2 linked regions of the Coturnix japonica genome follow. The protein of the gene in region 1 interacts with the protein of each later gene in a pairwise test. Links are inferred from orthologs where the notes say so. Each region holds a gene or a part of one and is shown on either strand. Other genes may lie near its edges.

Region 1 (3,814 bases):
TAATGATCTGAGGGATGAGAGGAAAACATTACTTAGCAAGTTAATTCAAATATGGGTTCTTTTTATTTGCTGCTAAGAAGCTTCCTAGACTACACTGTAAGTGCAGAACTGAGCAATGTGCAGAAATACAAAAGACAGCATTATTTGAACATTGATAACTTTCATTATTTAACACTTGTAACATTTTCTTATACTATTACTAATGATATATATGACACGTGCTGGAAAGTTAACCATTTTACTGAACAACAGGAAAACTACTGCATCTAAGAAGTTTCTCCTTCCTGTTACTTGGCTTCTCAATACTTCTTTCTCCCCTAGAAAACTTGTTATATTATGGTAGGAAGAATTTTTCCATGCCTTCCCACCTACCCACATTAAAGCCTATAATCCAGAAGAAAAATATGAATGTAGGATAGAATATAAACAGCAGGTCCTATGAAAGCAGCCTATTGCAAGTCTCAGAAATATTTTGGATTCTACCTCATTTTGGCCTCGGAAACATTGCCCTTAAGGTCAGGCTTCAGTGAAACTTCACGTATCAATTTTTTGATTACTCTTAAATAAGAAAAAGAAGCACCAAGGTTGAAGGCCTCTAAGTAATAACCATTTTGAGAAGAAACATTCATTTTCTACCATCTATCCAAACATGCTAAATTATCAACCAATCCTTTCCTTCTTTCCAACTGAAAACAGCCACACAATGCACTAGCCAGTAACTATGACAAGGCATTTAGGAACAGTCCTGCTTTTGAATGAGCTGTTATAAATGCATGTCACTAAAGTGTATGTTTAATGCTTGACTTTCATTTATACCTCACCTCGTTGCCAATAATATCAATGTTCTGCTGGACTTGTGGAACCCACTGCCTTAAGATAGCAAACAATTCAGAAACAGACGTTTTGGGGTTGAACAGTATCTCCTGGCACGCAGCATCATTGGGATCGAAGAAGGAAAACTCTGCTTTAAAAAAAAGCAAATATAAAAAAGGGTTTATGTACAAGTTCTAATATTCTCCAAGAATATGTATAGTTTTCAGTCTCAGAGGCAAAGAACACAAGAGATGTTACTTCAATAATAACCACTAGAAAATTAGAATGTCTGATTAATTCAGATAAGGTTCTTTAATGTCTGGTCTATTTATACTCAAGTCTTGCTTATCAGCCAAAAAAAGTTTTGAACTGGGACCAAGTACAATGGTACTACAAGGTTGATGATAAGTTTAGGCAAGGACCAGCAGAGATGGGCAGTGGTTATGCCAATAAAGGCTCAGCCTTGTTTCAAGCTAGGCAATGCTGCTGATATCAAGCTGCTCCTAAAGCACAGGCCAGGCTCTCAATGGTAAGTGATGAAATATACACACAATGTTTTACAGCATATGGAAGAATCTTTCCTTCTCCTTCCATCTCAATTCACATAAAACATAGCAAAACATACACACACAAATTAGGAAGGCATTAGTGGCCTCCATTTTTTTCCTGTCATGAACATATCCATCCCACCACATAGCAACTACAGGTTAACAAATAAAATAAGCTATCAAATCAAAGTGAGAGGAAAAACAAAAAAAGCCCTTTAAGATTTTAAGCCTCGCATTGCTTCAGGCAACCCAAAAATTCAGCTATGAGAAACACCTTATTATTCAAGTATGGTATTTTGCATTACTTACACGTGTATATCTATGCATATACACAAACTGTACTGTTTTAAACTGATGGAATTTCTTCCAACTCAGAAAGAATGTGGACAGCAGTAGCTACTGGGAGAAGGAAGGGAAGCAGAACCTACTATCATAGGCAAATGATAGAATAATGGAAAACACTGAACTTTCATCCCTGCTGCAGTTGTCATAGAGTTGCCTTCTAAAAAGGTTTCAAGTTAACATACATCAGCTTGCACCAACTACAGACAAAACACTCTCAGAATGGATAACTAACAAAGGGTAATTAACACACAGTATCACTGACCAGAAATAGGACTGGGTATACAACACATTGTAAGCTACCTTCTGGATGAACCATCCTAACCTTTCTTCAAAGAAAGCACACCACAGTTCTAGATTGGATTAACAAATAAGAGCACATATGTAGCTCGCTTCCTGAGTACTTAGTGCTCCCCTAACAGCACTTCCTTGATTCAGCAAGAATGAATAAGGAAGACACTGTCACCAATTTACCATGACTTTTTATGGCTTCTCATGAAATAAAATTCCCCACACTACAGAAAGCATGCTTCTTAATTAATGTCCTATGCATTGACACAGATCTGATTTCTTGTTTAATATTTAGCTCCTGTGTAGACCTGTTATCTCATGCTGAAAGCTATGAAGGAAACATGACCAGCCAACGAGATTAATCATCTTATGTGACATACAAAACGCTTATTCTGCCAAGTTTCCCAGCTACTAACCCAAACCAAACCATACCCGTAATCAAATCTAACAGCCTGCAATGCAAAAAAAGAGTAAGAATATATCAACAGCAACCATCATAAGTGCTTAACAGCCAATCAGCTGCAGTGCTTGCAAGAGGAAACCAACATCATGATCCAGAAAAATCTTTTAAAAGTTCTACAGTATGATGATAACAGCATCTAGATGCCTTAAAGCTTTACTTTTTAAGGTACACAAATGCCATTTTGAAAACATTACAATTGTAGCTACCTATGAAGATCCTTAGCCAAAAGGACGTTTCAATCTATTGTATTTCTTGTTCTAATTATTAAAAACACATGAAGACAATGACATTTTTTTCCAAAAGCCAGTCACCAGAAGGTGCTATGGTCTCCTGTAAACAGCCATTCCACAGCCCTCACCCCTACAAACATCCTACCCTTCCAACAGAAACATTCAGTTTAAGTACTGAAAGCCCAGTGAGGAAAGTGTGATGCACACACAACTAGGGCTGAATTTAATTAATGCAATTTTGCACCTCAATACAATATCCAATTCTACACCTAGACCTACAAACATCCAACCACACATAGAGAAGAAACAGTAAAAGTTAAAAGAATTAAAAGTATATGCAATAAGAAAAATAAGAGAAGCATGAGTTTTCATTTTTCATCTCCCTTTAAAATAACAGAATCCATTTACAGTATTTACTAAGCAGTATTTTCTTTTTCTGAAATGAGAGTGTAAGGAACCAGTAGTTTTTCTTAATATTTATCACTCAAATTTAATCCCTGCTCACCACAAACTCGTATCCTGTTAACATACGTACCGCAGTCTGAAGGCATTGGTGCTGCAGCAACAGAAAAAGTAACAGAGGTTTCAGAGCTTGGAAACAGAAATTGATCTCTTGCAGGGAAAGAATCTCCTTCAAAGGAAGGTTCTGGGATACCCTCTATGGTCATCTTCCAGAAAGTTCCTTTAGATGGAGGGAAAAAAGACCAGCACTGATAGAAGTTCTTTGGATTAGTTCTATTTGCACTAAAATGCAACATAAAAATATCACCTTCTAGCAAACTAATAAAATGCATTCATTCTTAGGAGTGGAGATGGTGTCAAGGATACCCAGCTACTAGATTTGATTTCACCACCAAACTCACACGTAATTAACGAAGAGCATAAAATTTCACCACTGTTTCCCACTCAGGCAGTGTGAAAATTACACTGTAATTAGGAACTACAAGAAATAACTAATTTACATGCTTTACAACTTCACAAAAAGGTGAAGCAGCAGATTCTTTACCTCACACTTGACATACATCTTTATCTCACACTATCAGCAAGAACATGCTCCCAGCCACTGCTTTCCCCCTTCTAATTCTCATGACTTGAACTGTATGCAGCTTTATGCAGCAAGATTAATC
Region 2 (4,381 bases), on another chromosome or scaffold:
CTTCTTTTCAATTTTAATTTCCACACTGGTTGGACATTTAGTTGTATTTTATAAAGATAAATTTAATTATTGTTTTATTGTTCATCACAGAATTATATTTCATCTGAAGTTAGAAATAGAATTGTGGAGTATCAGCTCTTCAGTTGTATTTATTATTTGTTGGCTGCTGTTGCACAGTTCACTGACAGGATTCTCATAGTGTAGTCACGTACTGAAATACTTTCTGCATTCATTTGCCTCTTTCTCATGTAACTGTGCTGGGTAGATGGGCACATCATTCAGTTCACTTTGCTTTTATTCTGACAGTAGTGAAAGGAAGTGGCTGCAATGTCCAAATGTGATCTTCCAGGAAAAAAAAACAACCCACACAGGCCCTAAGGTTCCAGGATGTGCCACAGTTTGTCAGCAACCCACTGTGATCCAAACTGAAAGCCTGCATCCAGAAAAGCACTTGCATATCATTATTTTTTCCTTTCATGTTCACTGGATACTTCACAGTGCAAACTGCAGCTTCTCCATCATTTACAAAAGAGTTGCTAAATATACTCATTGCAACTTGATGTCAGCAACATGCTGATAAACTTTCTATACAGATCCCCAACTCCTGGAGCAAAGAGATTAGAACGGAGGGGAGTGGGGGAGGGTACTGAGGATTTTCAGTCCTGATGTTTTAAAGGAAAAATTCAAATAGACCTTTAAAGATATAAAAACAAGAAATAAAGATTCCAGATCTTGAAAGCTGATGGCAGAGTCACATTGATGCCCTGCACAGATGTAAATGATGACTAAAAAGAAGGCAGCAGAGAATCAGTCTCTGAAGATGGGAAATAATCCAGTCAAGAGCAGATCTTGAAATGTGATACAGACTTATATAGGAACTTTGAAAAGGTTCCAGCCTGGGAATTAGAGCAGGCTGTTGTTTTAGAAACATGCACTGCAAACATACCATCGTAAAATCAATTAAAGTAATTATTTTATTCTAATCATTTACTTTGCAGTGACCCAAATATTGAACTGCCACAATGCATAGGGGTTGTAGAGGAATTTGGCTGAATGAAAAAGATACAGAGCATGACAGAGTGATCCAAATTTCAGGTAGGTGATAATCCTTATTTTGCTGTCTCACAACTTCACACAGAAAATAGAAAGCATAAATACTGACCACAGTGCAAAACAGCAGCGGTCAGTAGTGAAAGATGAGTTCACAGCATGGTCAGTCCCAAAGTTCATTTAGAAAGAAAGTAAAAAAGAAAAAGAAGAAAGTTGTGATTTACAAACTACTTGGCGTTCAACAACGCCTGACCTACACCATTATTATGACAGCAGAATCCATGACCATACCTTCCTTTACAAGTTGGAGGGCTATTATTTTACAATATTTAAACCACAGTATCAGTAGTGTCAACTGGATGAATAGAAAACAAAACTGAGAATTATTCTGGGCACTGTCCTGACAGTTGTGTTTCACAGTATTTTCCTGACTTGAACACCCTGAGCTCACTTTTCCTTCATAATAACAGAGAAATTTTGCAGCACCGTTCCAGCAACTTACACACCTTGACAATAAAAAGTCTCACAGACTCCACCATACTTTTACAAAGGGCAACAGCCAGCTTTCTCCTTAACAGACCACCACGTTTCAGCTGTACTTTGTGCTCATTTCCCAGTAAGCAGGAACACAGAGGCTCTCATTCATAAGGCAAACTTGGAAATGGCTAGCAGGAGAATTTGTCAAAACCTGCCAAAATATTACAAGGACAAGGTTATCAAACACTCTGCTGAGGAGACTGGGCACAGAAAGCCCAAATTACTAAGCAGGGCATGGTATATGCACACATGCAGAATTTGACCCAACAGATGGAAGATGCTGAGAATAAGATCCCAACATGTCACCTTACTGTAATGCACAGAGCAGGCGCAGAATGCAAAGGTCTTAACAATACATGTCATTACTTTTTTCCTTACAAGAGTTCAAATTACATTTTTTAAATACACACATCTCAATGTTCCCAACCTACCTGGCATGCTCAGCATCTTTTTTATACGTACATTCAGAAAAGAAAACAGACAGTCTACAAATGACTGTTCAGTGCCCCAATGCATGATGCAGACCTGTCCTAAGCAGCCATCATGAAGCTGACGGGCAGCAATTCCAAGATCTAAGAATAAACTGCATGTTTCATCAGCTAATGGCTGTCAAATAATAAAAAAATCATAATAAAAGTGTTGCCTGTACAAAGGGGTGAAGCTCGTGGGGTCTCTAAGCAAGGCAGTGTGCATTCACACACACACACAAATCCACCAACTCTGAGACATTTACAAATGAATTTCCAAAAGAAGACGCACAGAAATAAACCTTGTGCAATGCTGAACAGGCAAAGATGCTCCACAAGTAAAAATAAACCCTTCACAGCTGCTCCTGCTCAGCTGCGCCAGCGCCCAGCTCCGAGTGCCATCTCACCGCGGCCCATCCCAGGCTCTGCCGGCTGCGCCTCTGCACGCATCAGATTCAGTCGTGTAAAAATTCCATCGGCGGCGGGCAGCAATTCACAGCCCGCACGCTGCGTTCCGTAGCGAGGAAGTCGAGACAATGACAAAACTGGAGCACAATGGTGCAGGAGGGAGGCTAAGGCGGGTTCCGGCTGCAGGCTGCATCCTTGCCACACCTCTCCCTCCACCGCCATCATCACCTGCATCCCTGACTCCTCGTTCCCATCAGCTTTCTCTGCATCTCCTCGGCCTCCATCTCAGTACCACCGCTCGCTCTCCTCGCCGCCGCCGCCCCGGCCCTGATCCCCGATGATCCCCGCAACCGTCACCGTCATTGTTCCGGCAGCCCCCGCCTCTTACCGTGCCGCGGACAGGGGAGGATGCTGAGCGGCGAAGGACGGCTGCGGCGCATCCATCTTTCTGCTGCCGCGGCGGCTCCAGCGCCCAGCCCCGGCCGCTGCCGGCCCCCTGCGCGCCGACGCTGAGGGCGGGCGTCCGCCCCGCCGCCTCCCCGCGGCGGAGGCCTGCGCTGCCGGGCCGGGGTCTGCGGCAGGCGCCGCCCCGCCACCGCCGATGCTACCGCCACCGCAGCGCCGCGCGGCCGCAGCCATAGCAACGCCACGGCGGATAGGGCGCGGGGCCGCCGGCCGGTAGCGGAGCTGCGGGGGAACTGCCGCAGAGCCCGTCGTACCCGAGCGGCCCCGCACCAGCGGTGGGGCGCGGAAACGGGGACCCCAGAGGGCGAGGGCCGCCCCAGCGGAGCCCCTCAGCAGGGCGGAGCCGCGACGCGCCGGTCGCAGCTGGTGAGAGGAACGCTTCTGCAGCAGGACGCAGTGAGCCTTCACGTGGAACGGCTGCCCGCGGCTGGAAGCCCGTCCGAAAGGAACGAGCAGCCGGCCCGGAGGGCGCGGACCTTTTATGGTCAGGCATCCTTAAACAGGCATCCTTAAAATCCTTCAATCCCAGACAGACGCAGAAGGAACCACCATCCCTAGATCCGAATAACCTGCAGTACGCTACGGCTTCTTAGGTGTAAACCAACCCCCAGTAAGAGCTATGAAAGCAATGGCCACAGTAAACCACGCTCAGATGCTTCAAAAGCATCCTCATCTCTGTTCTTCCTGACACCAGAGGTGGTGCTGCAGCCCATAAACACACAAACCACTCCATTTACCTCTTTACAAAGGAGATAAACACAACTGCTAAACCTCTTCAGGTAAGGAGTTTGTCTTGCAAAAGCAAACTCTTCTGTTCATGAACCAAAGACCAAAAATTTTGTTTTTTTGTTGTTACCAGGTGTTGGTTTTTGCTAAGCATGGCAACACAGCGGGAAACAAACCTTTTCAAGAAACAGAGATCGGTGATTTCTGGATTTGTACTCTTCTGTGCTACTGTACTGTGTACTGACACCTTAACAGCAGCAGTACTTACTATTCCAGGTCACTCTTTTGACAAACAGAACTGACACTAGCATAGAATATCGTTACCTACTCACTGACTCCCCAAATGTTAAGAGCTGTTTGTAATTAGGATTCACAAGCTAGCAAAGGACAGCTGAATCTTCTGAGACATTGTCCACTAAGAGAAATAGAGACAACATGAAAGTGTCATAATTCACACATTACCACGGCACAGAATTTAAGATCTGTCTGAGACATGCAAGAAGGGCCTTCTCCTCCACTGGCTGGAGAGAGCAGCCCCTGGGCAGCACTACAGGCTGGCACCTTTTCCCAGAGCCTGAAACTGAGCCAGGCTGACCTGCAGGCACTGTGAGGCAGCCCCTATGCAGACCTCTACCTGCCAGCTCCCAGACAGGGTGAACACCATCCTGCACCAGCCCAGATGGACAGGTAGTGGCACCACAAACAAGCCTGGATGGGACAGGCTGCTG

What was found.
Region 2: the proteins of CLIP4 (region 1) and JAKMIP2 interact in binary tests that used the Homo sapiens proteins (3 or more experiments, as listed by UniProt). The two-hybrid records come from large-scale screens. The link is inferred for Coturnix japonica from reciprocal best matches to the Homo sapiens genes CLIP4 and JAKMIP2.

The regions. Positions count from the first base shown.
Region 1 is NC_029518.1:10,058,507-10,062,320, forward strand, and holds part of CLIP4 (CAP-Gly domain-containing linker protein 4), read right to left. Parts: intron 3,370-3,814; 5' UTR 3,356-3,369; coding exon 3,223-3,355; intron 965-3,222; coding exon 822-964; intron 8-821; coding exon 1-7.
Region 2 is NC_029528.1:182,922-187,302, reverse strand, and holds the start of JAKMIP2 (janus kinase and microtubule-interacting protein 2), read right to left. Parts: upstream 2,998-4,381; 5' UTR 2,851-2,997; intron 1-2,850.